2 linked regions of the Oryzias latipes genome follow. The protein of the gene in region 1 purifies or fractionates together with the protein of each later gene. This does not show direct contact. Links are inferred from orthologs where the notes say so. Each region holds a gene or a part of one and is shown on either strand. Other genes may lie near its edges.

Region 1 (16,019 bases):
TGTGGGTCTAAAAACGACTCTGAAGTCGGCTCCTTGGTGTGAAAGACAAGAGCTGACTCCTTCCCGGGAGTTTTTTTTTCTATTTCAATTCACCCTTTCTTACTGATTTTTCTCTCTAAGCTGCACACGACTGCATGTCTGGTCAAGTAAGAAGTAGTGAATTCATTTTTCAAATAAGTAATGAGTAAAGTAATTTAATAACTATTTTGATCCAGTTTCTAAAGTAAAGTAATCAATTACTTTTTAGAAGTAATGTATCCAACACTGCCAGGGGGAGTGGTCACTCAGTCCAGTTCTCTTAAACAGTCAATGATCGAGACACAGAACTACTGGCAGGGCTCTAGACTACATTTTTGCACCGGTTGCACAGGTGCGCCTAACTTTAGGTGCACCAGCAGAAAAGATTGGTGCGCCCACCTTCTCTCTCAACCACATTGTATTTAACTCTATTACACTGTCACTTTTAATCGTTGTCAATATCGGCATCAAGAGTTGAAAAGGATCAACTTACAAACTGGTAAACATGAAGAACTTTATGTCAAACAAAGCTCTACAATAATGCCAAATTACATTTAAAATGCTTGTGTTTAAAGACCCACTTTGTGAAGATTGTTTTTTGTATTTTTTTCCTCATAACGGCTGAGCACAGCGGAGTGACCACGCATTTTTATTTTTTATGATCAGACCGCACCCTCAAGAGAAGAGCTGAATGTAGCACCTGTAGAAGAGCGCAGTGCCACAGAACAACATCATGAGTCTAGTGAGGAGCATGTCGCTGTCGAGCTGTCATTGCAGCAAATGGTGGGAATACCCGCCACCGATATGCTCAATGTTTGTTAATTACGGTAGAAAAATTGTGTTTCTTCCCATTCTTAGTAGCATCAAAGGAAACTAACATTTTTCATTGAAATTCAGACCAAACAGGAGAAGCACTCATGTAAATATCAATATCTCTGCGAGTAGCACTGTTTCAAAGGTAACCCCACCTGCAGCAGGTTAGTGAGCATGATCAGAGTCTGCTCCCTGATGACATCTTCATCGTCCCGGAGACAGGCAGAGATGTTAGGTATGTAGTGGTCCACAATGTTGGTGTATCGAACACAGAGATCACACATGACCACCACGATGTTGTTGCGCACAGCAACCTCTTTGCCGACCTCCAGCTCTCTGGCAAACACTGGCAGATACTTGTGCACGAGCTCCTCCTGCTGCAGGCACAGCTTACCTGAACCACACAGACCGCAAACACAACATGAAACATTGGAAACACGAAGAGCAGCATGCAGTTCTTATGAAGAAGACTTTACCTAAAGTTAAGACTCCATGGGCTTTGATTCGGGGGGGTAAAGCGTTGACTTTGAACTGAGACAGAGGCAGTGAAGCTGGCAGATCATCCTGGCAATCTGTTCAAATTCAACAAAATTTAAACCATATATGGGATTTGTTTCCCAATTGTTTTTAGGACCTCTTTGTATAATGGAAAACCCATCTCTTCTTTTAGATTTTTTTTTCCAAAACAGCATTAAGGAATACACAAGAAAACTCCTTCAACACAGCTGGAACATGTGACTTTTAAACTCCACATCTGCTGAGATAAATGCTGCCCTCACCTGTTAGTTTGTTAGAATGTGCTGTCAGCACAGATTCCACCACCAGCACCGTCTTCTTGCTCACTTTAGCCGGACATTGAAGTGATGCCACACCCAGAGTGTGGAGATGCTTTATCTAAAAACAAATAATAAATAAACAAATATTTAAAAAAAAAAAAAAATCACTCATTCTGACAGATTTGTAAAAAGTTCTTTCCCTCCTACTTAAGCTACAAATGTTAAATTCTAAACACATTTTGCTCACATTTGGTCAACTTTACAAAATAAAATGTTTTCCAGAATAAAGACTGAACAGAATACAGAATACACTACAGAGATATCATCAGGTGTGCCATAGGAACTTATTCAACTTCACCCAATTTGGTCAAAAAACATTTACGATAAATCATAAAGTACTTCTTTCTTTTTGCTTATTTGATTTTTTTAAATTCTGATAAGAATAACTGTATATTGTTGATACAGACAACAGAGTCTCATTATATTTCCAGTTTTGGTTGGTTAAGGCCTTGTGATCTTTTTCAAAAAAAAGGGGAACCTTGGCTCACAGAAGGTTGGAAAACACTGGATTAAAAACCCAAACAGCCATAGTCAAGCTGTAATGAGTGAAAAGCAGGATAATTTTACTCTAATGTCTTTTTTCTAACCAGTGGTTCGCTTCATAACCATGTAGCTACTGTAATTGTGTTCTTTAGCTCCCATTAAACATTTTCTCTCACTGACACATTTCCCAAATCTCCGCTATAATCAGAAGATGTCATTCGTAGCTGATCCAGTAGAGTAGATGTCATGCAGGTCAACAGACCCTCTGTGGAAAATGCACATTGGTGGACTCATTTTCATTTTGAATTGCTAATGTTTAAGATTACATGTTCCAACAGACTGAAAATGTGTAAAACCTAGAGCTGGGCGATATGGCCAAAAAATTAAATCTCGGATTTTTTTTTATTCAAAATTCGATTATAATCCATTTTTCCCCTGCTTTTATTTCTTCAAACATTCGAAAGATGTAATATATTTAACATAATTTATTTTATGTTAACTTCTTCTTTATAAATTGGCTCTAATACAAAGTTCAACTAAATCCAAGCTGTAAAAATGTTTGTAGAACAAAGCAGCAGAGAAATACTAGAACGCACTCAGCAGAGCATTTCTGGTAGCAACAACCATGAAAGGGATTTTGCTCTTTGTGGTTTGATGCTCTAAGTTTGAAGTCACAACTCCAGAGACCAAAATCCCATTTTAGACTCACCAGACAAGATGACCAGTAGATAAAAAGCAAATGATTCCATTATTTTACAAAGAAAAACTATAGGTGTTATATTAAAAAATGATATTAGCGATAGAATTTCATTAGCGATAGATATAATTAAGTCTTTTCCAAAGTTTAGGGAGAACGGTACAAAAATAAATAAATAAAAGGTTTCCTCTAAAGAACAGAGACTGGATCTTTTATCAAACCCCTCTGGAGGCTCTGAGGGTCCGAAAGGGGCGTTAACGTGCCCGCGCCTTAACACCTGGTGCGCCCTATGGTCGTGAAAATATGGATACATGGAAAAACTATGGGATAAATTAACAAACCTGATAAAAACTGAAATTTATACACATTTTACTTTAACTTGGAAAAATATCTTATTTGGTTTTGTTAATTATGGTAATACAATTTCATCTCAATTTATTTAATAAATCTTCTGATTTTATTAACCAAGTCTTATATTCACAAAAAGACTAAATTTGGAAATAAAGCTCCCAATTTTGTTGATTTACTAGCCCAAATTAGATTTTATTTACAGTACAGACCAAAAGTTTGGACACACCTTTCCATTCATTTGAATGAGGGGTGTACAAACCTTTGGTCTGTAATGTCATTCCATTTCCCCCAGTACAAAAAAAAGCGATTAAAACGTGTCATTTTGCTCAGCTTGATAATTTAATATTTTTATTTTGTGTTTTTATCCCCCCTGGTGATTTCTCTGAACAATTGATGAACAGTTTTTTGTTCTTTGCTGTATGTGTGTGTGTGGGGGGGGGTTTCTAGCTCAACACCGGCTCTGTAATGTTACAAAGGCACTACTAATAAAGTTCCATACAAAGTGTCTCTTCTTAAATTTATAAAAAAAAGTTTTATAAATGTTTTATGAATGGTTTTTGTTTCATTTATTCTCCACGTCTTAAAGTTCACTCCGTGAAAATATAGTCTGACTTTAAACCGGAGCAGCTCGATAGCATTTAGCATCCTAGCATTAAGCATCGTAGTATCGTAGTCTAACCACACAGCTGTCTGTTGCTGCTGTATTTCAACAGGTTTTTCCTCCAGTTCTTTCTAGATCCTGTTATAAATCATCATGTTCTGCTGCTTCATCAGCTTAAACTGAAGCTACAGGAGGCATCTAGCAGAAGTCTCTAACACTAGTGTTTTCTTTTTCCGCCTCATGGAAGAAGCTCCTCTCTGCTTGCTGCTGTTTCCACATCTGCGCTCTGAGAGAGACCGACGGACTGACTTTACTCCAGACAACGGAAACGCAAGAGAGCAGATAGCTGGGAAACTAAAATCTAGATTTTCCAAAAAAATAAATCGTTTAAAAAAATCCAATTAATCGCCCAGCCCTAGTACAACCCCTCTGACCAGCTGATTACAGAAGGTTAAAAATATGGTTGACGGCAGTCATAGGAAATTCTTTTGGTAGAGCGGTTCTAGAAATTTAACTCTTCAGTGAGTCACTTCAAGTCATATTTAAAAATAATAATTTTTTTAAAGCCATGCACACTTATTTTGACTTGACTGGACCATGGTTGTTAGAGCAAAAGGTGAAGATATCATTTAGCAGGTAGAATAATGGATGCATTGCCTATGCCCTCATAAGGCCATCACCTTTATGCACCTGCAGCCAGGTGTGGTTGTGTCTGCTAAGTGTGTTTGGGAGAAAAGAAGGTGAGGGCAGAGAAACTGTTTTGGAACCACAAATATTTCAGTTAACCCTTTGAGAACTTTTTTGTTCTAGGACGCAAGTCCACAGCAGAGAACGTAGAGACTGATGTATCTTTTAGAAAGAAGCTTTGGATCCCCATGAGAACTTTTGTATCCGAGTGTAATTTGATTCAACAAATAAAAAGAAAAATCATTTTTGGTGAGGGACAAGTGACCACCAACTTGCAATGACAGGAGTGTGGTTGAATAAGAGGGAAAAGCCTGCTCACCATGAGCTCTTCATCAAGGTCCTGGGCTCCATTTTCATTGAGGATGACAGCGGATAAATAAGCTTCACAAATAGACACGAGCTCGCCACAGTGCTGGTTTAGGAAGGCCTGAAGACAAGAAACCCAAAAAGTCCTCAAATGCAAAACGTTTAACAGTTTGACAAAAAACGAAGTAAACATTTTTGATATGAAAGAAATGTTAAACTCCATGAAACTTAAAAAAACAGATAACAGAATATGAGCTTAGAGTGTTGTGATAATGTGAGGATAACATCAAAGACACAGATGGACACAAACACAACTCAGATGAACATAATGCACAACATCCACACACACACACACACACACGAGTCACAACGCAAGGGGGAGACAGATGCCTACCACAACAGACCCACCAAACTAGTGACACAAACACTTGGTAACAACTCAATCTCTCCATGATCTATCTGTCATCTTACTGTGGTTGGGTGGTTGAGAGCCAAAGTGATTCTTGTCAAGAGAATATGTTCTTGTATGATTATGTTTTTGGGCTTGCAGGCAGGGACCTGGTGGCTGTGCCTCCTCCCACAGAACCAGCTAGGCTCGATGCAGAAAAACCACTTCAGAATGCCACTAGAGATTCGGTGTGAATGTGAGTGATTGTGTGACAGACCAGCAACCTATTCAGTACCCCACCTTTGCCCAACAATAACTGGTATGGGCTCCAGCAACCCCGTGTCCCTTACAGGGCTTCATTGGGTTTGAAAAATGAATGGATGATATTTCCTGTCTAGTTGGACTCTGGACTCTCATTTTTAACTTGGACAACAAGCCAAGTATGATGAGAAAGACCCTCACTTTTGGCTACTCGCACTTCTTGTTCGACAAGTAAACAAAAACGAATACATATTTTTTAAAACAAGGTTTCTTTCCAAACCTGGGTCTCTTTGATGTTCTCCTGACAGCCAAGCTGATAAAGAGTCTGCACGGCTGTGCTGATCAACTCAAGAGACAAAGTGAAACTCTTCAACAAAGACATTAGATCCTCTGAAAGAAGAAAAGTGAGGGAGGGTCATCATTCTCCAGCTTCTTCTAGTGAAGTCTATCGCCTTTCCACAATCATTTACCAACTATCCTGTTCTTGGTATCATCATTTAAATGAACTGCAACGTCTCCCATAACAGATAGAATGTGACAGAAGGTTGTCACGTCGACATCTCTTGATCTGCAAGAATATAAAGTAGATTTTTGGGTAATTAAACAAACACAATTGGATCATCAAAAATGACCAGTACCAAAATGTCTGGAAATGATTCAGGTAAAACTCGTGCTCGCCTGATCGATGCGTCCCACGAGTCCAGGATTTTGCCACATGGGACTTTGGGACATGAAGTGGCGACCTTGGAAAGCAGCAGCCAGGCCCCTGCAGCATGATCGGCCTTAAAGTGTGACATCAGGTTTGTGATGAAAGCCGGCGTGAACTTGTTCTGCTTCGACCAAATGGTGAAGGCTCTGCTAAAATAACGGCTGGAACAAAAGAAATGTTACAATTAGTCTCCATCTCCTTTTCTCTGGCAAATAGACTGATGTGATCGTAAAGACACACTCACATTAAATTGAGGTCTATATAGCTTTGCTTTTGGTCAAACCACAGCCCGTTTGCTGTGGTTGATACAGATCATTGAAGGACCCACTCTGCTGTTAATGGGGATTTTAACATATAGGATTTTTCTCATAGTGGAGGACATATGTAAAGAAAATTAAGCTCACAAATGCATTTCTTCATTCACATTGTTCTGAAATAAGGTGTAGATGAAAAAACGTAGTTGTAGAAAGCTTGTGGTTATGGAAAAGCTGCAACCTGCAAGTCACAGTCCCCCTGCTCTGCTCCATTCTGATCATCCACTGTCAGACACATAGATCCATGAACTTCTTTATTTTCCGGGTCTGAGCTGGAATCTGGATCAGAACTGGACGGCTGGATAGATCTGATGTTGACCACCATTTTTGTTGCACTGCTAAAGATAATTGTGAGGTGTGCGGGGGGCTGTAAGCTAGCAGGAGTGTGAGTGTAAACAGAAGGATCATGGGAAATGAAGGCGGGCTCAGTCAACACCAACAGTCCCGCCCACATCTCAAAGGGAACATTTTTGATAAACTCCTACGCTCTGCAAAAACTATGTTATAGAAAATTACAGGTTTTTTTTAATTCCATATAAAAATGAAACAAAAAACCTAAATAAAATAAAATAAAAACAGACTGGGAACAATCTTAAAATGGATCAAAAGATCAGACTGGGGCTTTAAGATGATTCTTTTAAGGCAGCCAGTAAAGTGCCACAGATTTTCCTTTAACCCATAACCTTCATAAAGAAAAAGAAAAAAAATTAATAAAAAGAAATGGGGGGGGGGGGTCTGACTTTTATGATGAGACGGATAAATACATTTAAAAAAATAAATAGGTCACAAAAACAGCCATTTTGTAAAAGTATTAATAAATGTGAATCTACCATTTCAAATACTTTATTAGCAGCTTTCTGGTAACATTAGACATTAATTATTATAATAATAATTATAATAATAATAATTATTATTATCATTAGACATTAATATTATAGTGTGTGGGAACAACGGCTGTAATAAATCCATATTTGGAGGAAAGACTGTTTTTTCTGTTAAATGCAGTTCTCTTATTTTGAAATTAAAGGCTCTTCTTCTGTTTCCTCTTTGCATCTTTTCTGCCAAAAGAAACTTTTCAAATACGTTTGTCTTTGTTAACTTTGCTAGTGGGTTAATATAGCATGATATAGCACCGGAACAGCCACTTTTAGAACGTAATGGTTGTATTTTTTAACGCATGACAGAGCGGCTTGATGTCCGTCAAGATTGTGTCAGATGTGGTGGAGAGAATCCAGCAGCTTTTTAAAATAAAACTTCAAAATCAGATTTTAAATAAAAAGGGTGTAGAATGTTTTCTTTCCCCTCTGCTGCCCGGTCCCAACTGTTCTATGGACCGATTAGGCCCACGGCTCAGGGTTTGGGGACCAATGTTGTAGAGTACTGCCAAGGGAATTAACATGGTGAGATCGACCAGTGGAGCATCACAGTAGTTGTAACTACAGAAAATGGATTTAGCTTAGTAAAAAGACCGGTTCTGGTCAGTTCTTACCTCAGGTTTCTGCATTCATGTGACAACAAGCCTAGCAGATCCCATGTAAGCCTCTGATCTGTGTCCATGTGATGGCCGCCATTGTACAGTTTGACTTGACTAAGCAGCACTTGTTCCAGAGCGTCCAAGGCCTTCTCCTGCACCGAGCTCTCAGAGTCCACCACAGCCGGCAGCACGCCCTGCAGCCATGCCTTCTGGACCGTGCTGCACTCGGCTTTGGCCTGGTAGTGACAGGACATCCAATGGCAACAGGTTTTTATTCCCATTTCCAGAGATGGGCAGTAACAAGTTACATTTATTTGAGTAACTTTTTGAAGATTTTTAATACTCCAACTAGTTTAACTAGTTCAAATGCATATTTTCTATGGAATTATTTGTGTCTCATAATAAGTCAATACCAGAAATGCTTTTTCATTTTCACAATAAAGCTGCATTTGTTGACTTAAAAAATAAAATTAACAATCCTCCAAAATGCTTTTTCCTTTTGTACTCCAACGCCGCTCATTCTGTGACATCGTTAAAGAGAAAAAGCAAAGAGGGGACTGCATTTCCATTTATACATCCCTCGCGCAAAAACTGTTGCATAACTTAATTCCAGTCAGCCTTTCCAGGGGGGAGGCGGGGCGACCTGTCCAGGGTGTATCCCGCCTTCGCCCAACAGTAACCGGCACAGCCTCCAGCTACCCCGCAGACCAGCGGGTAAAGAAAATGGATGGAAGTTCATGACACAAACCCTCGCATTGAGCGGCCACACTGGATTTATTTTTCTACCCTTTGATCGAGTCACTAAAAACGCCACGTGCCCAAACCTTGTCTTGCCAACCTTGCCGCGTCTGACGCCCAAGTCGCGCCGCAGGACCTCAGATCGCGTCCGTACGTTGACTTAACATTGAAATGTGAATGCAGCATTACATGCATACAAATTTTGGATAGTCTATCTCTCTTTACCCATTTTACAAAGAAAATACTAAACAAAGAGGCCATTGGCAGGAGAATTGGATTTTACACAGTTACCGTTTTAATCTGTTATTGTACAAGTTTGAGGGTTTTTAAAGTGGTTTTCTTTTGGGTATCACTCACACTGAGCAGCTCTCCAACACACTGTAAAGCCTTCTTCCTCACAGACACAGCTGGGTCTCTGGTGCGCTCTGACAGAGTCTCCAGATTCTCCCAGGTTGGGGGAATTACACCATGCTTCAGGAGACCTAGCAGGGCCTAAGACCGTAGTCAGAGGAACACATAAGAAGGTCAGTCCAGAAAGGTTCTATAGGGTGAAATGATCACTTCTGGCTGACCAACCCTGGTCATCAAAAACCCAAACCCAGCTGTTTTCTAGCTCTCCCTGCACCGCTTGCTGATGATGATGATGATGACCAGACTGTGGAATCCCTGCAGTCAGCTCAGCAGCAGCTAGCGGAACAGGGAAAGCTGGAAAACAGTCATGGGTGTGGTCTTTGATGACCAGGGTGGACCTTTAGTTTCCTTTATTTCAAAACAAAAACAGTAAAGCACCTGCAGCGCTGCCTTCCTGACATTTGTCTTTGAGTCCTTTACACGGCGAAGAAGAAGAGCCAGGTTTGCCTTTGCCGCTACAAAACATGGAAAGAGTCTTTTATTACAAGATGGTCGACAGAGAGCCACAGGAGTGTTGACGGAGCCTTTGCACGTGCTAGAATCTCACCTTCAGAGCCTGAGCCGTCAACACAGCTGATCTCCACCGTCCTGAAAGGCAGGCTTTTCATGCTGCTCTGCGTGCACGAAGGTACTGCAACACAATCCCATTTGCAGCAACAGTTACTAGAACAGGAGCAACAGCAGCCTGGGCCTTGACATAAAGCTTCACTGAGGTCTTGACATCGGTGCTGCATTTGTTAAAGACCCACTCCAATGAATGGGTGATGTTAACTGCTCACCATTGATATGGTAATTGCCCCAGGATTCCTGCATGTTAGCCTCTCACCTTACCAACCGAGCTACCCAGCCGCTATGATAAACCCAGAGATTAATGACCGATTAAAAAATAAATGAATTAATGGCGTGTTGTATTTTCAAATAGCAACAAGCCTCTCAACTCATCCGAACTAAAAGGAGCTCCGCCTACATGTCGATATTACATCTGCAGTCTTTTTTTTTTTAAATCATCAGACCTGAACACTAATCATTAAATGAGAGTAGTGCGAGGATCCTACATCTATCTATCTATCTATTATAGCTCCTGCTTGATCCTGTTCAGACATGGGAAAACTTGTATTACTTGCCAACTTTTATGTATCATGTGTGATTTAATAGGCTCAGTTTTATTATCTGTTGGCACTTTGCTTTTAAATGAAAACAAATAAACTAGAGGCTTACTTGATTGGAGTACCAAATGTTTTTAGCGATTTGAGATTCTTCAGAGAGTTTTGACTTTTTTTTTTGGCTGTGAAGTGAATTTCAAACAAGCCTCGATGCAACAAAGAAAAAGCAAAAGGAACCCAAACCTCCTGCGAGTTCACTGTCCAGCACCGTCTGAGTCCCAGCTGAAAATAGAAGATAAAAGTCTGCTTTAGTCAATGGATGAAGACAACAAAACAATGATAATGTTATTTAAGTTTGTCCAAGTACTCTGTACAACAAACCACAAACATATGGAAAACCACATGAAAAAAAGCATTGAAAAGGCGCCCAAGTCTGCCTTACAGGTTGAATAGCATTAGGTATAAGATTTTGTAGTGTTGATGAATACTAAACAAACTCCAAATGTTTAAATATCCTTCAATAAATCATTTTATTTAGGGGTGTTGGAAAAAATAGTTTCGCCAATATATCGTAATAACCGTGTTTTACTGTGAAGCACTATGTGATTTTTATTTTGAAAGGAACTGTACAAATAAAGTTTATTATTATTAAAGTTTATTATAATAGTTTATTTGCCCTCTACAACAGTGGTCCCCAACCCCCGGGCCGCGGACCAGTACCGGTCCGTGAGTCATTTGGTACCGGGCCACACAGAAAGAATAAATAACTTGCATTACTGTTACATCAGTCCATGTCATTTTTGACGCATTCCAAGGCGCTATTCTCGGTCACGTGATAAGTATAAGTTACTGGTAAAATAAAACCCAGCAGCTAGTAAAATTAGTAAAAAAACAAACGTCTCTGGAAAGTTTCTTTGCCGAGGGGAAAAGGCCCAGCCAGGAGACGGAAGAGGAGCCTTCCACTTTTAAAAAAGAAAGCTATATTTAATTGACAGTACTTGTTTTTTGCGCCATGAGAGTGTGGGAAAGGGAGAGGATGATGAGACCTGTGCGATGTCAACTGTTAAGCGTGTCAAAATAAAAGCACAGGGCTCGTCTTGTCACGAAACTCACTGCCACGTTGCTGCCAGTATCGTATAAAGCTATCTGGTGGGGGGTTTTTCCCTGTTCAACATCGGGTTACGTATCGTATCGCCAATACACACCCCTAATTTTATTGTCTTACGTCAGTTTCAGGGAACAGTTCAATAAAATTCATGAAAAAATATTTATTATATTCATACTCAATACTTTGCCTCCATTTATTTGAACATTTTTATCTAGATTTAATTCTACGAGGATGAGTCACTGTTAAATTATTTTTGTATTGAAAGCATCAAATGATGTTATTCTAGTTTATGCCCATGGTTATAAGCTTGTAAGTATGCTCTTACTGCCAGAGAAGAGGTTGTGGACGGCCCTGGTGACATTGAGGGAGGGCAGCTCCAAACACTGAGCCAGGCAAGAAAGGGCGTGGCCTTGGACGGTGGGAGAATCATCCATCCTTCGAGCAAACAGCAGATCCTGGATCAAAAACCTCTGTGGCAGAAAGATGGCAAGCTCCGGATCCTGAGATTCCTCCAGCCGCCTCTCTGTCTGCTCCAGCAAAGCCATGACCACGTCCACGGAGAACAGTCGATGGACCATCTGCCGACAGCAGGGCAACAAGTCAGCACTGAGGTTCTAGCGGCAGCTGGTGATGAGACCAGACTAAGAAAAGTCTCACTCCATCATCTTCTGAAGATCATTCCCAGTGGGCTTTGAATTCTGATTATGCCGTTTTTAGCACAAATAAAAAAAAACCTGTGTTTTCTAGGACAGTTACTGCAGTGCAGCAGTAGTTCACAAGAAATTCACCTCCGAGTTTTGGGTGGGACCAATGGCATGGAGAAACTGTACACCCCTTCCCCTCCCCATTGCTGAGAGCTCTCTGTTTACATCAATTCACCAGGGGATGCATCAGAATAGAGAGGAGCTGGGAGCTGTGACCCACTCAGCGTATTTTGTACGTCACAAATATGATATTTTTCATCTGCTCCCGATTCACAACAACTTGATTAAAGAAACACTCAGAAATAGTTCCTGTCAGTCCTAAAATCTTCTGGAAAGGTTTAAATTCTTTTTAAGTGTCAGCCCCCAAAGATCACCTTAAAAATCAGCTGTTTTCCATCTAGTAAAAATAAAAGGCCCCTTTGCAAAAACATATTATGACTATTGAGTTCCAACTGTCAATGTGAAATAGCAGGACACTACATCATGAAGTCTTTCCTGAACTTCATTTAAAATAATAAAACAGTGCTGTAAATACAGAAATGCTAGAGACCAAAGTTTTCCTGCATGGAGCAGAAATATGTCATAATATTTAGCCATTTGTACACTTACCTTTGGTTGTCTGGAGAAATTAAACAGCCATTTAATGAAGCGGCTGTAATCTGCATTTTCCATCTGAGATGTCAGCATTCCCACAGCCTGGGCTCCGTGGCTTCGGTACTCGCTTTTCTCCACCATCTACATGCCGACACAGCAGAATCCTGTGAAAAGAGCTGTTGCCAGCTCAGCTGATCCAACGTCTTCATGACTGACCTGGAAGCAGATGTGCTGCAGCAGAATCTCCAGGAAAGGTTTCGCCAGCTCCCTCTGCTCCTCCACCAAATGACTGGAATCACATTCAACAGTTCAAACGTCAAAGACATCCTGTAGAAATAATAGAAAGGAAGCGCACACACGCTGCTAACTTTGGTGGCGCTGCAAAAGCACACTTCATAGGTTTGTTGATGCCTCTAAATTGTCTGTTGTCTGTGTGTGATGGACTAATAAATGGCCTAAGATGAAGTCCAGCTGCACCTTTCAGGAGATGTGGAAAGGCTCCAGCATCCCTGTGACCCTGAACGGTGCATATAGAAGATGGATGGAAAATACAAAAGAGCTATGAAAACAGGAGAAACAGATAGAGGGAATGGATGCATAGATACGGGTATAAATAAACAGATGAGCATTAGGCTAGCACACTGACTATATGTGAGAACTGGACTGAAACTAGTGTGACGTCACTCATTGAAAATGGTTTACTTCTGGCTCCAACCAAACCAAGTCAATTCATTTGCCATTTCTTGGATGCCACCTCATTGGAACCAGACAACATCCAAGTCGGACTGAGTCCGTGTTCTATGGTGACCACCCTCTCCAATCAGGAGTGAACTTGTTGGAGGGCCACACCCCTACCACGTGAAAGCGGGAGAATCTGTCAACTTACTTTTATTGAAGTATCTGACTGGTCAGTTTATACTCATTCAGACTTGCAAAACAGAAAACAAAAAATCCAAAAATATGCTTAAAAAAAGTATCAGACCAAGAAAGTTAGAATAACCGGAGTAAAAGCAGTTTATTTCTCTATAGAAGTCTATGGGATTTTGGTTTCTTGAAGCCAGCAGGTACTTCCTGTTTGGAATGCTAGGGGGAGGGGGGGGGGGGTCACTCAGTCCAGTTCTCTTATACAGTCAATGGCCTAGAAAGAAAGCGTGAGAGAAGGAAAATAAAACATTGCCAAGGAGGAAGGGAAAAATGCATTCTAGGAGATAAAAATAATGAAGTCAAACTGTGTCTAATAGTTTAGGGTTTCAATTGAGCTGTTGAGTTGATTGTGGTAAAGATCTGGTGTAAAAAATGTTTCACATCTGAAAGAATTTCCTTAAGAAAACTGACGTTTTTTCATTGAGACGCTGCCCTCTAGTGGTCATAGGAATATATTTCAGAATGAAGGTTCAGATTTACAGGACTGTTGCTTGAATGTAAAAAAACAAGAGTATAACTAATGGACATCAGATGACATCACTTTAAATAGATTTATTTTACTCTAACATTTAAGAAACACTTGGTAAATAAAACAATTCCAATACTACTGCAACTATTCCAGGAACCCCATGTCCTACCCACCAGTCACACGCGCACACACCAACCATACTAAAAGCAAAGACAAAGCAAAAATTCAAACCTCTCACCTTACAAACTGAATGGCATAATCCCTGATTGCCAAAACACTCCGACTGAGAACACGGAGGACCGGTTTCCCTCGACTCTCTTTATTCATCATCAGTATGGCATAGAGCAGCTGATGGAAGACGCTGCGCAAAGACTACACAAAGAACATTGTGTTATCATGATCAATCCATGCCCTAAATATGCCACAACTTCCATTTTAACATGAAGTCAGGATACCACAAATTATTTAAATTGCATTCACCAAATTTTGTAAGAATAAAAGGAGAACAAAGGTTAGCATTTTTGGTAGGAAACACAAAAACCCTCATTGCAAACATAAGATTACACATCTGCAGCTCCTCTGATGTTTACTGCATTAAACTGAAACCTTTCTTTCTGTTATGTATCATTTATGATGTACAATTTTGCAACACAAAACCTCGTTTTTTCATTCATTCTCATCAACATCAGACATTACGCCATTTATGATTAACAAATCTTTTTTGCAATGACGTGTCCTCACTAGTGACGTGGTTAATCACCCCTCTTTCCCAAAAAGGTTTTTTGATTTGATTGATTCATTTAAGACCGTTTTCTATGCGAGGCTGAATGCCTGTCTGTGTTAAGTTAGGAAGGAGAGTTTCTGGAAAACATCTGCTTCTGAAAACTTGGCCTCACAGTTTTATCGTAGAAACACAAAACATGCTAAATCCCACTTAACCCTTGTGCTATCTTAGATGACCCCCCCCTTCCATTGACGTGTTCTCCCTACCATGACAAAGGTGGATAAAGGTGGAAAGATTTCATGTAATCCATGGACACCAGTGAAGATCACAAATCATTGAAGAAAAAAGGTTCAGAGCACTGTCTAGTGGGTCTAGATGACCCAACTCCCAATGTTAAAGTGCCTAGGATAGCACAAGGGTTAAGTAGACCAGTGTTTTGTAACCAGTGTGCTGCGGGGGATGGTCAGGTGTACTGTGGGAAATTACTAATATTTTATTTAAAAACCCACACAATGTCAATGCCAGCCCCCCCAGTGAGTTTATAGAATCTGTCTGTTGGAAAAACTGTTGTCAGTTTAAGGACAGCGTTTTCTATTGTTCCAATTTGATTGAACTGTTGTTGGAAACACTGTGAAGAAGATTTTTTTTGTTTTCAGCAGTGACGTTTCTTATTCGTTTGCTGCTGAAGTTAACAGAAAACCTTTTGAGTGCAACATTGTTTAAAGTGGCAAATATTTCTTTTTAAAATCTTTGCCTTTTCATCAGTTATTTTTTAATTCTGATCTCTCCTAAACAAAAAGGTATAAAGCATGACGATTTTTATTTTATTATATCCAATTACAAGACAAGACTGTGACCAAACAATATATTAAATAGTAATAATTGTGGTTTGATTTGTGAATTGATGGTCTTTCTTTAGTAATCGAATCAGATCACCTGTAAGCCTGTAAACTTATCTAAAGAATACAGATATTAAACAGACAGAGCGTTTACAAACTGACCAGAAACAGAGGTAACTGGACCTTACTTCTTTCTGGTCTCCATGTTTTGCTAAGCAGAGCAGCTCAAGCCCATAGAAAGCCATCTCTGGAATGCTCCTCATTTCAGTCATGTCTCTGCACAGGCAAGAAGATCAGGCTGCTTTCATGGATCATTTCTTCCACATATCAGAGAGTGGCGTAAGAAAACTCACCGTGGAGCAGCAAAGGTAATCTCACCAAGGACAGGTTCAATGTGAAGCAGCTTACAGAAGATCTGCAAAGACCAGAGGATTTGATCTACTCACGCTGCTGTGTGGTCTGAAGAA
Region 2 (16,693 bases), on another chromosome or scaffold:
AAGAGGAGAGACGTTTTTCATGGGGGAACTGCACTTTGTTTACAGAGATTACTTGAGTTATGAATGAGTTACTATGAAATCCTGAAAGTGTCACAAAAAATAATTTAAATATTTTCTCTTTATCTTTTAGAAAAAGCAAATTTGAGTACATGATTGTTTTATTTTTAAACATGCTCTGCCAGTTAAAGAAATGTCTTTCAGTCAATAAATAATTAAACTACAGCATCTAAAAAAAAAGAACATGATAGAATAAACAGGAAGAAAAACTTACTTCTCTACATTTTTTAGCTCTTCGTTCATTTTCTCCATTTCTTGCGATATCTTTGCATTTTTTTCTGTGAGCTCTTTAGTTTCCTCCAGGATCTTCTGCTTCTCCTGCTCTTTATCCACCACACGCTGCTGCAGGTCGTGGCTTGAAGGAAAGTAAGCAGGTAAATAAATAAATCAAAACTCCAGAGGTCAAACAGATAACAGGAGACACTTCTGCTGGTCCACCTACACATAATACTGGTAGAGCTGACTCTTGTGTTTGAAGATGTCATTCTCCAGTTTCAGGAACTCCACAGCTTTGTTCTTCTCTCCCTCCAAAGCATTTTTCTCCTTTTCCACTAACTTTACTCTGTTTAGCTGGGAGAGTGAAAAAAAAAAGCAACATTTCTACATCACTGTGTCTTTAGATGGTCGGGAACAGGAAAAGATGGTTGAATTTATTGATAAAATTCCATGAACATTTATTCAAATGACTATAAACATTGACAAACTGTATATATAAGATTTATTAGCAAGACAAATGCCAATTGCTCGCAATCTAGAAAAGCCCATCACTGTACAGCTTTTAACCGTCATCCTAAAAATATCCCAAATGCACAAAATAAAATATGAAAACAGTCCCGAGACACAAATTCTTTCATAAAAAAGGATTTAAATAACTTCATGTTCAGACACAACAAAAACAAACATTGGTTTTCTCAATTGTGAAAGATGTTGAGTTACCTTTTCTCCTCTCTGTTCATTGAGGAGCTCAATGCGGCGAGCCAGAACCTGGATGGGCTTCTTGAGACGACAAGAACCGATGATGTCCTCTAGATACTCCAGCATGCCTTCATCGTGCTCCGTCTGACCTTTGGGCTTCATCATTGCAATCTGCTCCACCTCACCCTGTGTACAGTCCAGACAAGCTTATTGGCAAGGGCGGAACTACAGAACTGACTCACAGAGAAAAGAAATACTAAGTTATTCTAACTTTCGGTCGTTTCTTGTTTTAAATATATTTATCCTTTGCCTCAATTATGAGGCAAATATTCTGAATTGTAACTGGTGTTGCATTGATATCCCAAAGCAACACCACACAGAAAAAAACCCCAGAACAAACTACAAAATTCATTTTTTCCACTCAGGAAAGGGAAGAAAAATAAATAAATAAATTTAGAGTGATGGAAAAATAATATTGGAAGAATTAAATATATACTTATGATGCTTACCTGTCCAAAATGTATTCAAAAACCTGCACTCATCACACACACACACACATATTCAAAAGCCATTGTTCTTGTGAAAAAAAAGCCGTTTTGCTATATTTCTGAAACAATTTTTTGTAGCAGTAAACATGTTTCAGTTCCTTTAACTACAGTGGAACGTATTTTCTTTTACTTAAATTAATCTAATAAAGTCAAAGTTTGATGGTAAATGAACAATTCTGATTTCACACAGATTTTACGAAACTACTTTAAGTAATCTGGCAAACAATTCAAAAACAACAAGAGAAAACATCTAGTTCAATTCAAACACTCATCACTGACCTGATTTTTGTCATATAACACACTTGCTTAACCCAGGGTTGATTTATATGCAGGGTAAAAAGTAGATCAGACATTACTGTATGTTGATGAAACAAATAAGCTCAAGGAAGAAGGGAGATCTAACCCCACATCCTTCTGTCCTGATTGGAGCACAAATGACACCGCTTCCCCTTTTGCTAAAGGTCTGGAAAAGTGACCTTGAAGCCAAGCTCAAGACTCTTCCCATAGTCATGGAGCCATGCCAAAAACAGGGTTGTGTAAGGAGAAGGAATATAGACGGGCAGATTTAGAGGAAAAAAGAAAAAACACAACACTTTTTATTAAAAAAAAAAAAAAAAGATGTGAAATAATTGATTATAAAGTGAGATTACATTTTTTTCTTGGAAAAGTTTTTCAATATTTTATTTTTTATTTTATGGTAGGTAAAAAATACAATTAAATGAAAAAGAAAATTAAAATATTAAGAAGAAAATTATGACAGGTGAGACGATTTAAACTTGGTTACCGTAAATCTTTTTAACCAAGAATAATGTAGGACCATAGTATACCATGAATTACAGTAATAGAACAAAACGTGAACCAAGACAGATAGTTAAAGTCCTGGCAACAGAGGATGTTTGATCCCGTCACACTGAAGCAGCACTGCTAATATTGGGGTTGGGGGCTTTTTTCACACGCCAATATTTACGTGCTGCTACAGCGTAGCAGGTATATTGAAAAAGGAAGGGTCCACCTCATCGCCATTAGTGGATCCACAAAAATAAAAAAATTAAAATAAAAAAAATATTAAAAATATAAAAAAACTCTGTTAAGCTAGCAAATAGTTTAGCAACTGACATTCAGGTTTATGTGGGAGAATTTCAATTTTTTGCATTTTTTCCTTAAAATTCTAAAGCAGCAAATAATGGTTCGCACTTTTTTCTGACTGTTTCAAACCATGATGCGCTGCTACAGCATTCTAAGGTCTTGCAGAGGGCAACCCCTCCCCAGTTCTTTTCTATGACACCACAGCATATTCCATGACATTTCCAGACATGGCCTACAGGTACATGAGAAACATTTAAGCAAAAAAGAACCTGAGAATTGCACTAAAAAAAATAAAAAAATAATAATAAAAAAAGATAAATGACAGAATGGCATGATTATTCAAAAAAAAATAAAGTTTTTTGGACTTGCAGGATAAGAGGAAAAAAGGAAAGAATACAAGAAAAACACTAAATAATTACCTGTAAAATCAGAAACCTGTTGTGGTCGAGGTCAATACCGTGACTTCGTAGTAATGCCCCCACTTCTTTAAATGTGGCTTTCTTGCCATTGATATGGTAGGCTGAGGAACCGTCTTTGTTGGCAGTCCTGGAAACGTAGAATTTGCTGTTGGGGATGACTTCGTAGTCATCTCCTTCCTGGCTCGGGGGGGGGGGAGGGGCAGAAGACACAGCAGCTTAGAACAGAACAGTTCAGGAGAGGCTGAAACAGCCCAACACGTCAAACTGTTCCAACACTGACAGATTCACTTATTAACAAGGCCTACATAGAAAAACACACACATAAAATATTGTTTATGAGAATGCACTACATCTATAAAGGCAAAGGATAAGATAAAACACTAAATGTGTATTGGAGTGTATTGCATCGTAAGCTTCCTAAACTTGTAACTACAAAAGATAAACGGATTGGGTAAAAATGTTTAGTTGAAAGAAGAAAAAAGGCTATTTATTTAAGGCCGTGTGCACATCGCTGAAAGAAAAAACCCTGTAGTTTTAAGGAATGATTGTAAATACAAAACTGACAGATTTCTCAGTTTGTGCCAATTTTAAGACAAATCAATGTTTATTAAAAAATACACAACATTTTAGCTTCAGCAGTGTGATCAAATTCACAGTCCCTATGGCTAATTTAATTTATAAAAAATTTTCTAATTGGGGGGAAAATGTAGCTCACAGTTGGTGGTTACAGCAGCCTGTTATTACATCCTACCTAAAGCAAACACTACTGCTTTTTTTTTTTTTTTGCCACCATGAAAAAAAGCAGAGGCAATAAATGCATTTGTTTATCTCTTTCCCTTCATTGCCATCAGATCAATTTTAGGGCAAAATGACTCAAATGTGGCACGTGTGGGAGTTCCAGTAACTTTCACAACTGATTTAAGTTTACACTTGGTCACTAGAAGAAGAATTGAGCAGCAATATTACTGCATTAGAAACGACAAAGAACAAATACATTTTAAAAATTCATTTTTGCCCAACTAAAATATTTCTGGTGATTTTTTTTTTGTTTGTTTGAACAACAAACTGATCATTTTAGTGAAGTTTGTATTTGTGTGTAAAAAAAAAAAGTGTTTATAAATATCTGTATACCTTATCAATGATCTTTTGAAAATGCACCTCCACAGTACAGCTTTGCACATCTTTGTGTTTATCAGAGCTGTGAATCAACACTGAAAGCTTTTTTGATCTTATCTTTTGAGCTCTGTATCCAAACACAAAGAGCATGGAGTCTATCACATTAGACTTGCCGCTTCCATTTGGACCAATGATGCAGGAAAAGCGCTGGGAAGAAATTAGGAGACAAAAATAAATAAATAAAAATGAATGCATCATCCATATGAAACATACAAGAGATTAAGATTCAACAACAGCTGTCAGTAACAGCGATGACACCACACACAAGTCTAATATAGATTTAAACACTTAAATTTAGCAATATGAAACTTGCATGGACATGAGGCGACTGAAAAAGATTTTTTTTAAAGAAAAAAACATTTAAAAAGTTTCATTAAATGTGATTACACCAGTAGATTTTCAGAAACTGAGAGAAACACTAAATCAAAATGGAGGAGTGTGACTTCTTCCTCTTTTTTTAAGGATTTTTCTCTCTAAACATTTTTACTAATAATCTTATTTTTTTATAGATTTCAATAAGACACATTTATTAGAAAGGTGACCTAAGATTTCAGACAAGAAAAAAAATAGTATCAAATGAATAAGACTTGGATAGTAACAGTTACACTAAATCAGTGACGTGCAGTCAGGAGAGGCAGGTGAGGCTGTGCCTCACCTGTCATGGGAAGAAAAGAGAAAAAATAAATTCAACTATTATATTTAATCAGTAATTTGTGCTTTGCAGTCATTTTCCATTTAAATGTACCAATTTTGGGTGTTTTTTCTTTTCAAAATCGCTGAATTTCCGCATTTGCCGTTCAGATACTAAGAAGTGACGTGCGATGAGGCACCAGCCCGCTGAGCCTCACCTTGGATTGCGCAATACCTATGCAGTCAGACGGTACTGCTGTCTCTCTGTATGTCGGTTCAATCACTTGTACTGTATGAGCTGAGTTTGCATAATTTAGCAGATGTATATGATGTACAGTGTTTGTTTTTATAAATAACTGTATGTGAGGGACGTGTTTCTTGTGCTGAGCGCTAAACGCCGGCGAAAAAGCCGCTGGGTGAGGCCAGAAGTTCCCGTGCCTCACGTTAGGGGGCGCCGGTGAGCCTTGAGATTATGACGCTAAAAAAATAATAGAATAAGTGATAGCAAGCGGCAAGTCATTTTCTTCCGAAAGAGCGGCGTATGGACTTTAGTTACAAGTAAAGGTAAGACGATAATAATGTTTGTGCTTTTTTCTATGCTGCGTTTTGTATATGAAAAAAAACATGTTGAAATGATATTTTAAACAAAACACCTTAACTGTTGTCAATCAAATGGAGAATAAATTAATCAGTATGGTTCATATGTTTGTAAATCTGACTGATGACGTCAGTGCCTCACCAGCCATTAACCTCACCGCACGTCACTGCACTAAATGTAATCTAAGTACATAGTTAAATATATTCAGGACACATGGTAGATTAGAATCAAGTTTTGGTCGTACCTTGTGAAAAGGCCCCAGAATCTGCTCGCCTGCGTACGACTTAAAGTTGCGGTTCACTAAATGTGTTATCATCAGGCGGGGAGCGCCCGGCTCATTGGTCATTGCTGGGGGCGGGGGTGGAGGGATGCTACCGAGAATCTCCTCCAAACTTCGATTATCGACCGCCTCGGCAGCCTCCCCTTCTGCCGAATCTGTGGCACAGAAAAGGGCACTTTTCAGTTTTTCTGTGCGAATCGCTTCAGGTGGGGAGTGGGGGGGGGGGGGGGGTAATAGGGACGGGACAGTGGCCCATGGGGGAGGGGTGGGGGGAGAACAAAAACAAACAAACAAAAACACAGTCGGCAAGTCGCACAGACAGACAAGCGACTCCGGGGAAAGTTGACAGGCGTCGTTTTTTTCCCCCTTTGTTCAGAAAGCAAGAGTCAAGCCTCGGATCGGACATGAACGAGCACACATCAGTGCTCACAAACGCAGTCTCTCTCCGGTTTGATGCGCCACGGACACCTCCAGGATAAATGAAGTGCGTTTATATCAGCGACGTCGTTACTACACCCAGCTAAATGAAATACAGACAGGAAAAACTTTTCTGCATGAAGATCTACAACGATCTTCAAGAATCGGTTCAAAATCTTTTGTGTTCTCATATATACAAAAGAATTGACGGTGTTTCAAAAATAAAGTATAGCAGCTAGACATTTAGCGGAAAAAAAATTATTAAACAGATTCATGTACCAATGAACTTCAACAATTGCATCTTGAGAGCAGCACACGCGCTGTTCAAAAAAAAAAAAAAAAAGTTGCAGGCATGATGAATACAAATCCCGTTTTTACGTCACAACAAAAACACACCATTTCGAAGCAAATTACCTCGTTTGCCGTCAAGATCGGGCGAAGAAATGCATTCGACGATATGAAAATCATCCTGGAGTGATTTCATTTCTATGTTGCACTTTAGAAAACGTCTCAGCCATCCCAGCTACTCTTTTCAATTTAAGATAGAGGAGGGGAAGGAGCTTTACAGCTGTGCCAGTTGGCCTCTAGCAATACTGCAATACACGCAGAGCCATTGACTGAACAACTTATTTAGATTCACAGACACCAAAACAGCCTTTGTTACTTGCCAGTTGTCGGTGGTGCCTCCTCTTGGCCATTGGAGTTAGTTTCTTGAGGGGGTACATCCAGATCACCCTCAGACACATCCTGCGACCCTTTTCCTCTTGGCTTGGTAGAGGCGGTTGAGCTCTTTGCGGTTTTGGATGGCATGATTTGAAATCTAAAGGGGTCATTGGTAAAAAAATAAAAAAATAAATGGGGGGGGGGGGGGGGACACATGAGTGGTTTTTGTGTCTGTCAATCTCTCAACTCCACTTTACGGTCAGTCACACACAACTAATGTGTCAGGAGTTTGCCATTACCAGTCAAATCTTACTGCCGCCCTTCCTAATAATATACCATTGTGTTTATTATTTGTTTTTTCCTTCCAAAAGTTTAAATAGTTGCTAAAAACAAAAACATGGAAAAGTGTGTTACAGCGATTTTTATTCATCTTAACACTACTAGGATCAAAAAAAGGTTAGCTTTTAAAACAAATCCCCGTAAAAAAATGTTACAAACTAGCCAACTACAAAACTTTGGAAAAATGCTTTTTGGCCTTAACCGTTAACGTTTAACGGTGGGTAACAACGAAAAGGAAAATAAAGTTTACGTCACCCATTTGAAAAAAAAAAAAAGAAAGAAAGAAAAAGAGGGAGAGAAATTCGTGTCGAGCCTTGAATTGCTAGTTTTCTATGATGACCACTACTGAAAGCGCAGCTCAACAGATAACAGTCGAACTTGCAAACTAGCTTTCAGTCCCTGAATTCTAATGTTCAGGGCGGAATGATAATTTGAAGTTGGCCATCTAACGCGATTTGTTAATGTATTCGAATAACTAACCAAACCTACAGTACATGCAGCATGATTTAAGAATGTTTTCGTAATCGTTTTGTTACCGGATGACTATGTCGCATTAAAAGTTACTACGATTTTTTTTCCCTCGGCTAATAGTTAGGTTAGCAGGGGGGAGGGGGGGTGCTAACTAATCATTATGTCAAACTTAGCATCACAGAGCAGACCGACATATTACCACCTTTAACTGGTATAGGTTGTAATAAACATATAAACAGTAATGCTATAGGGGCTTAAGTTAAGAATCCATTATTGTTGCAATTATTAAAAAACGCTAAAAAAAAGTCAATAAGTAGTAGTAACACTATCAATGTCCTGCCAATGCTATATTTTTTCCTTTTACTTTATTTTAAAACATAGTTGGATTTGTGGCTTACTTAAAGGTTTGTCTCAATTTCAACGACCGCTATGAATTTCAGCAAATAGACGGAACCCAGTAAATATTTTTTTTCTATTTTTTCTTCATGTACCTTCCACAAATGAAAAAAAAGTCCTTCGCTGATTTTCTGTTTCGATCCAGTCCAAACCTTTCAAGAAGAATAGGTTAATCCAAGGTCTAGCAAAAAATACACTAAAATAGTCCACAAAATCGTGTGCCGTATCACCCGGAGCCGCTTCCTTTCTCGAAAAACTTGTCTTGTAAATGGCGCCTAAACTGCGCCGTCGAACCAAATTCGTTATAAACTCTCGCAAAGCATCATGGACCTTTCAAATGGTAGTGTGAAAAAAACACAAAATTCAAAAAAGGGGACGAAGCCAACTCCGCCTCGCTCCACCAGTGATAAGAAAGGCGCAACAGTAACAAAGCGATAAATGACAATTTCATAAAAAGACATCACTTACGATTTTCATTTTTTGAGTAAGGATATCTTTTAAGAAAAGAGTTGTGTTTTCAGTACTGTCGAATCATTCGGTTACTGTAAAATAAAGTCCCGCCCCATGGAAACGTTTATATTATTTTTTGGAAGTGACCGAGATCATCAACACATTATTCAGTAATAACGCAAGCCTACTTTAAAGATCATTTTCTGAATGAATTTGTATTAGTCACTCAAAAAGTAAACCCTCTATAAGTACACGCTGAGGTTGCAAATTGTTACAACTCTCGCGATGACTTGGCTGTCAACCGTTCACTCATCCGAGATTTCATGGCTAAAAAGTTAGCTTCCATACGTCATGAAAACAAAACGCTTCTTCATCAACGCTGCTTGACCTGGTTCATTTGTATCGAATATTCGAACTATATCAAATGACTTTCACACATTGATAAGAGGCACATAAAAGAAGTGCGGTCATCAGAATGCCCCCCGTGCGATTTTAAAAGGTAATGATTTTAGTTAGTTAGCTACAGTGGCTGCCTGGTAACATAGCAACTAGACGCTTGTTTGGTGTTGGTGCATTTTCTCTCTTTGTTGGATTTTCCTCTAATGTTAAGCTTGACTTAAGAGTTGATTCAAAACTGACATACGTGTGTTTTGTTTGTTTAGGATTCAACAGAGAGACAAGAACAATGAGACTAAAAACTACGCTGCAGAAGGAACCAAAACATATCCTTTAATTGCATCGTGATCCCTCTTGTTTTATAACTTATTGCCTTTGATTTGAGCTGAATGGCAAAATATTTTGAAAACTGTGACATTTCACGTTCCCGTTTTAATAGTATTATTGCTGTTCTTCAATTTAAGATTGTTTTTAAATTATTTTCTGTCCTACATTTCTGCAAACTAAAATAAATTTCTGCTGATAAGAACCACTGCAGCAATGATAAACCTTGTCATTTGCATTTTCTACTGAAAAAAATGAAGACAAAACAAAACAAACAAAAAATAAAATAAATAAAGGGGTTGGGGGCAGGTTCTCCAGATTCTAGGTATCTATGTAGAAAACATGCAATCAGCTGAATTTGTAATATTTGTCCTTTTTTTTATTATTTTTCTTAACACCAGCTCACATAAGGATCTTGTAAGTTGTTTAGGTTGGACCACAGCCGATGAGCTGTACTCATGCAGTGATGATCATCAGATCCTCAAGTGGAACCTGGTGAACAATGAAACCAATGTGGTCGTCAAGCTGTCAGAGGACATCTACCCCCTGGACATGCACTGGTTCCCCAAAACTGTTGGTGGGAAGAGACAAACCCAAGCTGAAATCTTTGTCCTCACCAGCACTGATGGCAAGTATTTTATAAAACCCACTCTGCATCTTAAAAAGCAAATGAACAGTATGTCCATATCAAGTTGTGAAAGACTCAATCAGCCGTTTTTAAATATATTTATTTATTTTACAAAATACTGCAGGATAGTAAAAAGTTTTAAGTAACCAGCCATGCTGTGACTCTTTTTTTTAAACTTCAATCCATGAAAATAAAATGCATTTTTATCTGATATTAAACTTGGACTTCACTGCATAAAAATTCCATTTGCCGTTTCGCAATGTGCCAGATGCGTTTCAATGATGATTGGCCAAAACCAAAAAATGTTTTTTTTCAGTGCCCATGCTTTTATGACGAAACTGCATGTTGATTAGAATTATGTTCCTGAAAGATGCAAGACTTTTTATGCTAAAGAAGTTTTGTGGGTAGAAGAAAAAGTTGCTCTGCCTGAAATATAATTTTTTTAGAGACGTGAACTTTTTTTTTTTGCAGAAATCTCTGCTGCTTCCATCATTATGGATGTTGAATTTGAATTCGTCAGGTGTAAATAATAATTTGTCTACACGAAAAAATGTTGCTTTTGAAACCCAAACTGCTGTGAACAGTTTTCCCTTTTCATTTTTTGACAGCATATGTTCCTATATATCGGTTTTTACATTTGTTCCTTCATGAATCATACCTGTTCTGTAATTCGACCAATGAACCCAAAGATCCCGGGCATCTAGCAATCATTATCTTATTTTTATCTTTTTTACAGAAATGATTTTGTGTTTGCTGGATGATGAGATATTCAAATACTTAATAACTTTATTGCAAGGATATTCTGAAATTCAGATTGTTTTTAATCCCAGTTCTACTGGTTCGTGAGCCCTGCCTCTCCTAGATGCTCTTTTTGTTAGATCATTCATTCATTCATTCATTCATTCATTCATTCATTCATTCATTCATTCATTCATTCATTCATTCATTCACTCACTCATTCATCTTCTAAATCTGCTTTGTCCCTTTCTGGGTCATGTGGCTGCTGGAGCCTATCCTGGCCACTCGTGGGCCAAGACAGGGGACATCCTGGACAGGTTGTCGTAGGGCTTTGTTAGATTATGTCCCTAAAAATGTTACCAACTATATAATTAGTAGCAGTCAGTTGTCTTCTTACCAACAGTTTTCCTCAGGAACCCCATAGAAGTCATTTATTTCAACATTTCAACTTTTATAAAGATGTGAGAATCCGCAGTTGCACTCATTACTTAATAAATTGTTTCCAGCGCAACTAGTGCAAAAATTAGTGTAGTGTCATTCATGATGCAACATAGATGTTTTGATGTTGCCTACTTTGAGCAAATGATAGTAATTTTCATACTTTTTGGGTAAATACACAATGGTTAATTTCTGTATTCCTTAGTTTGAGGATACCATACTGTTTCATTTGCCTTTGGATGACTTGGTTTGTCACTAAAGGCAACAATCCAGACAGTGCCAAGGTGTGTCATGCATGTTACGGTAGATATGAACACATAAGAGCATGATTGGACTGCTGTGGTAGGCAATATGTGGTCACAACTCTAATGGCAGTGTTGAATTGCAAAACGGATGCAGCAATTTACTTTGGCATGCCAGAGACTCGTTGCGATTCCCTTTTGCAACTTTCTTTCTCTTGCTTTCTTTAGTATAGTTTACACAAGCTAGACAAATAGCTGTTGCCATAAATACTACATGAAATATGAGAAGGGAAATGCATGACAATCATTTTTTGAACTACTGTGAGCCCTGACACATTTAGCAAAAGGATCAGTCTGTTATTGATCTTTAGCATTTTCTCAAATATCTATAAGAAACGTTTTCATGCTACAGTCCTGCAGCCCTGGTTACATATCTGGAATTTTCAATTTAATTCATTTGAAGTATTTTTAAAGTAAAGATTTTCTTTATTCATCTATTAATTGCAAGTAACTATTTTGGATCTGCAGTTTTTCCTTTTTTCTTTTTCAAATGTGTGCTTTTAAAACATTGTTTTGACAAATGTATGTTGCTCATCTGTTTAATATGTTGACTTAATTCATTTTGTTCTCCCATTTAAAGATGTATTGGTGCAACACTGCATTAATCAGTTTTGGACAGAGTCATTAGATCGTACTCGTCTGCATCAGGGCAAACGTGGACTGAAGAATAGTGTCACAATAAAGTCAACTCTTTTTTTTGGTTGTTTTTAAGGAAAGTTCCACCTGGTTTCCAAGATGGGGCGCATTGAGAAGAGTGTTGACGCTCACAAAGGTGCAGTCTTAGCAGGAAGATGGAACTACGATGGAACTGCTCTTGTTACAGGTTTGGATGTCGCTAACGCATACACAGCTGCAGTATAATAAATATTTGGTCAATTTTAGACAAAGAAACATATTCAATACACATTAATATTTTTTAAAGTAATGCTGCTTTCTATGGTTCTTAGCTGGAGAAGATGGGCTAATCAAGATCTGGTCAAAAGTTGGGATGCTGCGCTCAACTTTAGCCAACCAAGGTAAGGCTAATTGTTTTGTCTTAGTTTTACAGCCTATTATCCACTTAATTTTATGCACTTTGCAGAATTAAACTCGAAATACAGCTCTTAGATCATGTAAAAACAACTAAAATGCTGAAGAACTGCCTAAAAGTCAGCTCGTCTTTCTTATCCCACATTTTCTTGGACTTCCCTCATACTTGAAATCTGACCGTTTCTTTTAGCTGACCTTTTATACAGGTTTCTTTTTATTTTTGTTCCTTTTGCTTGATCAACCTATGAAAGATCAAATAGAAAAGACAACAAACTCAAGACATAACTAAGTGTTGTGTCTGCAAAATCCCAGCCATTTAAAATCTTGTGAAGATGACCAGTTGCAAAAGCTGATTGTTCATAAAAAGCAAAATGTCACCCAGAAACTTGGAGAACTTTTTTACCATACCACCTGAAGAGATCGCAGTTAGGTATATCTTATTAGAATGACAGTAGAAAACATTTTGGATGTTTAAAGACCCACTCCCATGAAATATGTGTTTTTGGTGTTTTTAACATGTTCTTTAGGCATTTTTCTCATGATGGAGGCCACATATAAAGAAACCTAAGCTTAAAATTGTACTTTAGAGTGTTTCTTTATTCAAACAGTTGTGAATCAAGAGCAGATGAAAAAATGCAGTTTCAAAGAGAGCGTATTTGTGATGTAGAAAATAAGCTGGGCGATCCATTTTGATCCCTCCACTTGCAGACAGATAGATTCATGTACGTCTTTGTTTTCCTCATCCGAGCTGGCATCAAAACTGTACGGCTGGACAGCTCCCATATTGCTCGCCATTTTTGTTACACGGATAATGTCAGGTTAAGGTTGTCAAGGGCTGTAAGATAGTGGGAGAGTGTAAACAGATGGATGAACTCTGCACCAACGGTCCCGCTGAAAGCCTAGAGTTGAATTTCTAATGATCCGCTGCCTCTTCGATAAAACTGTGCCCCAGAAAACATTTGTGGTTTTGTGATTTTGGCTAAAAACTGCAATTAAAAGACCACTGGGAACACTTTTAAAATAGATCAAAAGATGATCAGAGTTGGACTTTAAAACATTTAACTGAAATTTAAAAGCCGAGTCATTATGTTTCACAATTAATTATTGTGGAAATAAAAAGAAAAGAAATATCAAGTACAAAAAGTTAATTACAGCACAAGCTGGAAAAGACTGAACCAATATGGCGCATATGTAATGGTTGCCAGAAGAAAGCTTCTTCTCTGTAAAAGGAGCGCTGTATCAAAGCTTGAGTTTGCAAAACTCTCATTTAGACAAATTTGAAGATTTCCGGAACAGCAATACTCATTGCCACATTTGCTGAACGCCACATGAAGCAGGGCAACAGAAAGACATTAATTAACTGTCCAGCACACTGGTGGAAGGATTGGAGGAACCGTGTTTGGGATTGTTTTGCAGCCAAGGGCCCTGAGTTCTTTACTGATTACTCTATGACCTGCTTTGTAGGTCCAAGTATTCTAGAGTCAACTAAGGTGTCAGAAAAATGTGACGCCTGACTTTTGATGTGCCAGAAATACCAACACCTTGCTGAATACCTTGCAAAAGCCTATTTACAAAGTGGCAATTTTCCTTAGGATTTTGCTAATACTAAACTCAATGCAAATACTATATGAAGAAGAAAAAAGGAAGTTTTTTTTTTAAATTTACGGATGCAGATGAAAGATGTGTAGATATTTTAGAGATTCTGTCCACAGCATATGCTGCTGCATACTGTAGTCTACCTGGACAACCATGTCATCAGAACTCCAGAGGTTATATCACAGACACAAACAGCCTTCCTCTGATCCTTATCTACTTTTCTTGGCAAATGAATGCATTGATTTCCATCACTACATATTCTTTCCAGATGTGAACGTGCCCGTCCAGAAAATGCTATTGAGTACACACTTGAATATCCTTTTTTTGGACAATGTCCAAACGTAATTGTCCACACATTTTCCAGAATTTCGGCAGCATGAAAGTGTGAAAGTATCTTTAGAAATAGGGCAAAGCCCGACTTTCTCATTTTATTCCTGTTGGATCTCAAACAATTAGAACTGATAAGGGGTGACTTTTTATGTCTACTTCTTTAGAGAAATTTTGGTACCCCCTGTTCTTTAACATTAATACTCAAATGCACTTTCTTACTAATTTTTTTCCAAAAATATAATGATAGCATTAAAAAAATCCAATTAATGCCTCTACATCAACAACAGAAGTTTGCAGATTGAAACTATTGGTCAAAGAAAAAGACTTTGAAGGGTGTGTGTGCATGTTTTGATCTTACTTTAAGGAGAAAAGGCTTAGTAGGAAAGAACAAAACATGTTTTTTCATCAATTTTATTGTTTTTATTATTAAATGTTGCTTTCTCATTTCTAATGAAATTGTAGTTTTTTTTCTTTCAAAACTTTTTGAAATTGCCCCTCCTCTCTTCTAAACTTGCACACAGGTAATATTTTTGAATTCATCACACATTTGGGTGTTTCTGTTCAATTCAGTTCTTGTTTTTCTCCTATAATCTTAATATAATTTCCATATTAAAAGAAATGTGTTAAAGAATACTGTAATAACTCCATAGTTGTCTCCGTCTTTCAAGTAAAAGTTGTGTGTGCGTGTGTGTCATTCTGGGCTATACACTTTCATTTAGTAATCCCATCAACAATATCACCTGGTCTGCAGATTTTTATCTGTGTAATATCAGTAGCCTTCATCCTGGTCCTCAGCTCCATCACCAGCTGCATCAACGACCGAAGTTCTCTCCTCTAACCCACAAACCCCTCAACAAGCTTTTACCGGTCCAGAACTCAAACGCTTGTATAATTACACCCTGTTCCAAATTCAGATTTGACAACAAACTCCCGCTGTTCACCTGTAAAGACCATCTTTGACCTCAATCTCCTCAACATTGTTGTACCCTCACCTTCGTCCTCCCTTCACCTGACTGTTTCTTTTATCTGTCTCTGCAGCATGGGGAGAGGGGGCAGAGCATTCAGCTAATGTGCTCCTAAACTTTAAAACTCCCTCCCCCCCAAATATCAGGATCATCGACTCTCTCCCTGGTTTTAAATCTCAACTCAAATCCCATCTGTTTAAACCAACCTTCTAACAGAAGCGGTTTCACCAAGATTATAACATGTGTGATCCTTTGAAAAACACTATCTTCTATTGAGTAATCTTGCTTTTATGTGTAGAGCCCCCTGATGTGACTTATAAGGTGCTTCCCATTAAATGTATTATTATGAGATATATTATTAAAAAAAGATAGAATTTTAAAGAAGTGAAACACCACTAAGAAATAGAATAAGATGTTTTTTAATAACCTAGCAAAAAAAAAAAACAGTCAAAAAGAAAAAAGTGCTACAAGTACCGGTAGAGACTTTTTTCCTTTGGTTAATACTTAAGAAATGAGCTGCTTGATGGTCAGAAAATACCAGATTTGCATAACACCTAGATTTAGAAGCATTGCTTTTCATTAAAACATCAAATCTAGCACAAGGCGCCCAGATCACTGCAGGTGCTGCCGTTTGTTAGAGACTTCATTTTTTAAGCCCCTCCTCAGTGGTGCCAGTTGCTGATTTGAACTTTGACATTCTCTCTGCTTTTAGAAAAAAAAAACAGCCTGTTTAAAATTACATCCAGTTTTTACGTGTACTTTTTTGTTTTGTTTGCATCCTGTTAAAAACCGAAAGCAGCACCCAATTTTGGCTTATTTTGTGTTAGAAAAAATGCTATGTATAAGAAATGTTGAGGTAAACCTGCGTCTGCACACATACTGGCACATGCAAACTGCATGAGCACATTGTTTCTTTTTGGTTAGCATATGACCCATATCACGTCTGAGCTCCAAGAAGAGGTTGGAAAGGAGCGAGAAGTAGGAACTTGTGTCAACCCCTCTCATCGCCTTTGTCAGATTTAGAGCATGTGACCAGTTGGCATTTGTGAGAAACCACATGCACCTGGAGTGAGGTTAAAATGTCAGGCTCCCTCCTCTTCACACGTGTGTAGCCACAAATCAACTCAAACACACACATCCTTGCACTACTGTCTTCACCGCGACACAATTGACATAATGCAGCGCCTGACTGACTTCTCCTCCTAAATGTGACTATTGCAGCTGAATGCCTTACCCGATCCCAAACCCTGACCCTAAAACCAAGAATGAACTCTTATATGCACTAAACTCTGTGAGATGCAGCATGTTGGTTCTCCCAGGGTAGTTTTAATTGCACACCCAAACAAGAACAAGCCCTCGCACAAACTTTTTGGCAAACGTGTATGGCTGCTCATGCTCCACTATGATTTTCTCCTCTGGTTTTACTTCAAGCTGAGTGCTGTTCCAGGCTGAATCTCAGGTCTCAGAAGGAATGTGATATCTTCTGAGTGGAGGGATTAGTT

The links.
Region 2: the proteins of ncapd3 (region 1) and smc4 purify together in Homo sapiens (co-immunoprecipitation; 3 studies listed by BioGRID and IntAct, with this or other methods). This does not show direct contact. The link is inferred for Oryzias latipes from reciprocal best matches to the Homo sapiens genes NCAPD3 and SMC4.

What each region holds. Positions count from the first base shown.
Region 1 is NC_019873.2:3,920,122-3,936,140, reverse strand, and holds part of ncapd3 (condensin-2 complex subunit D3), read right to left. Parts: intron 15,968-16,019; coding exon 15,906-15,967; intron 15,829-15,905; coding exon 15,741-15,828; intron 14,362-15,740; coding exon 14,228-14,361; intron 12,886-14,227; coding exon 12,813-12,885; intron 12,738-12,812; coding exon 12,612-12,737; intron 11,877-12,611; coding exon 11,624-11,876; intron 10,473-11,623; coding exon 10,434-10,472; intron 9,719-10,433; coding exon 9,635-9,718; intron 9,543-9,634; coding exon 9,466-9,542; intron 9,169-9,465; coding exon 9,034-9,168; intron 8,175-9,033; coding exon 7,954-8,174; intron 6,312-7,953; coding exon 6,120-6,311; intron 6,010-6,119; coding exon 5,912-6,009; intron 5,832-5,911; coding exon 5,722-5,831; intron 4,914-5,721; coding exon 4,806-4,913; intron 1,726-4,805; coding exon 1,611-1,725; intron 1,404-1,610; coding exon 1,308-1,403; intron 1,226-1,307; coding exon 987-1,225; intron 1-986.
Region 2 is NC_019871.2:13,482,956-13,499,648, reverse strand, and holds the start of smc4 (structural maintenance of chromosomes protein 4), read right to left. Parts: upstream 8,270-16,693; 5' UTR 8,226-8,269; intron 8,148-8,225; 5' UTR 8,091-8,147; intron 6,947-8,090; 5' UTR 6,937-6,946; coding exon 6,795-6,936; intron 6,774-6,794; exon of another isoform or gene 6,611-6,773; coding exon of another isoform or gene 6,541-6,610; intron 5,865-6,540; coding exon 5,674-5,864; intron 4,349-5,673; coding exon 4,157-4,348; intron 3,203-4,156; coding exon 3,026-3,202; intron 2,519-3,025; exon of another isoform or gene 2,416-2,518; intron 1,159-2,415; coding exon 994-1,158; intron 628-993; coding exon 500-627; intron 413-499; coding exon 272-412; intron 1-271. Other genes in the region: ift80 (intraflagellar transport protein 80 homolog), read left to right, coding at 9,131-9,167, 9,572-9,793, 11,984-12,094, 12,219-12,287. UniProt on the Homo sapiens protein: Central component of the condensin complex, a complex required for conversion of interphase chromatin into mitotic-like condense chromosomes.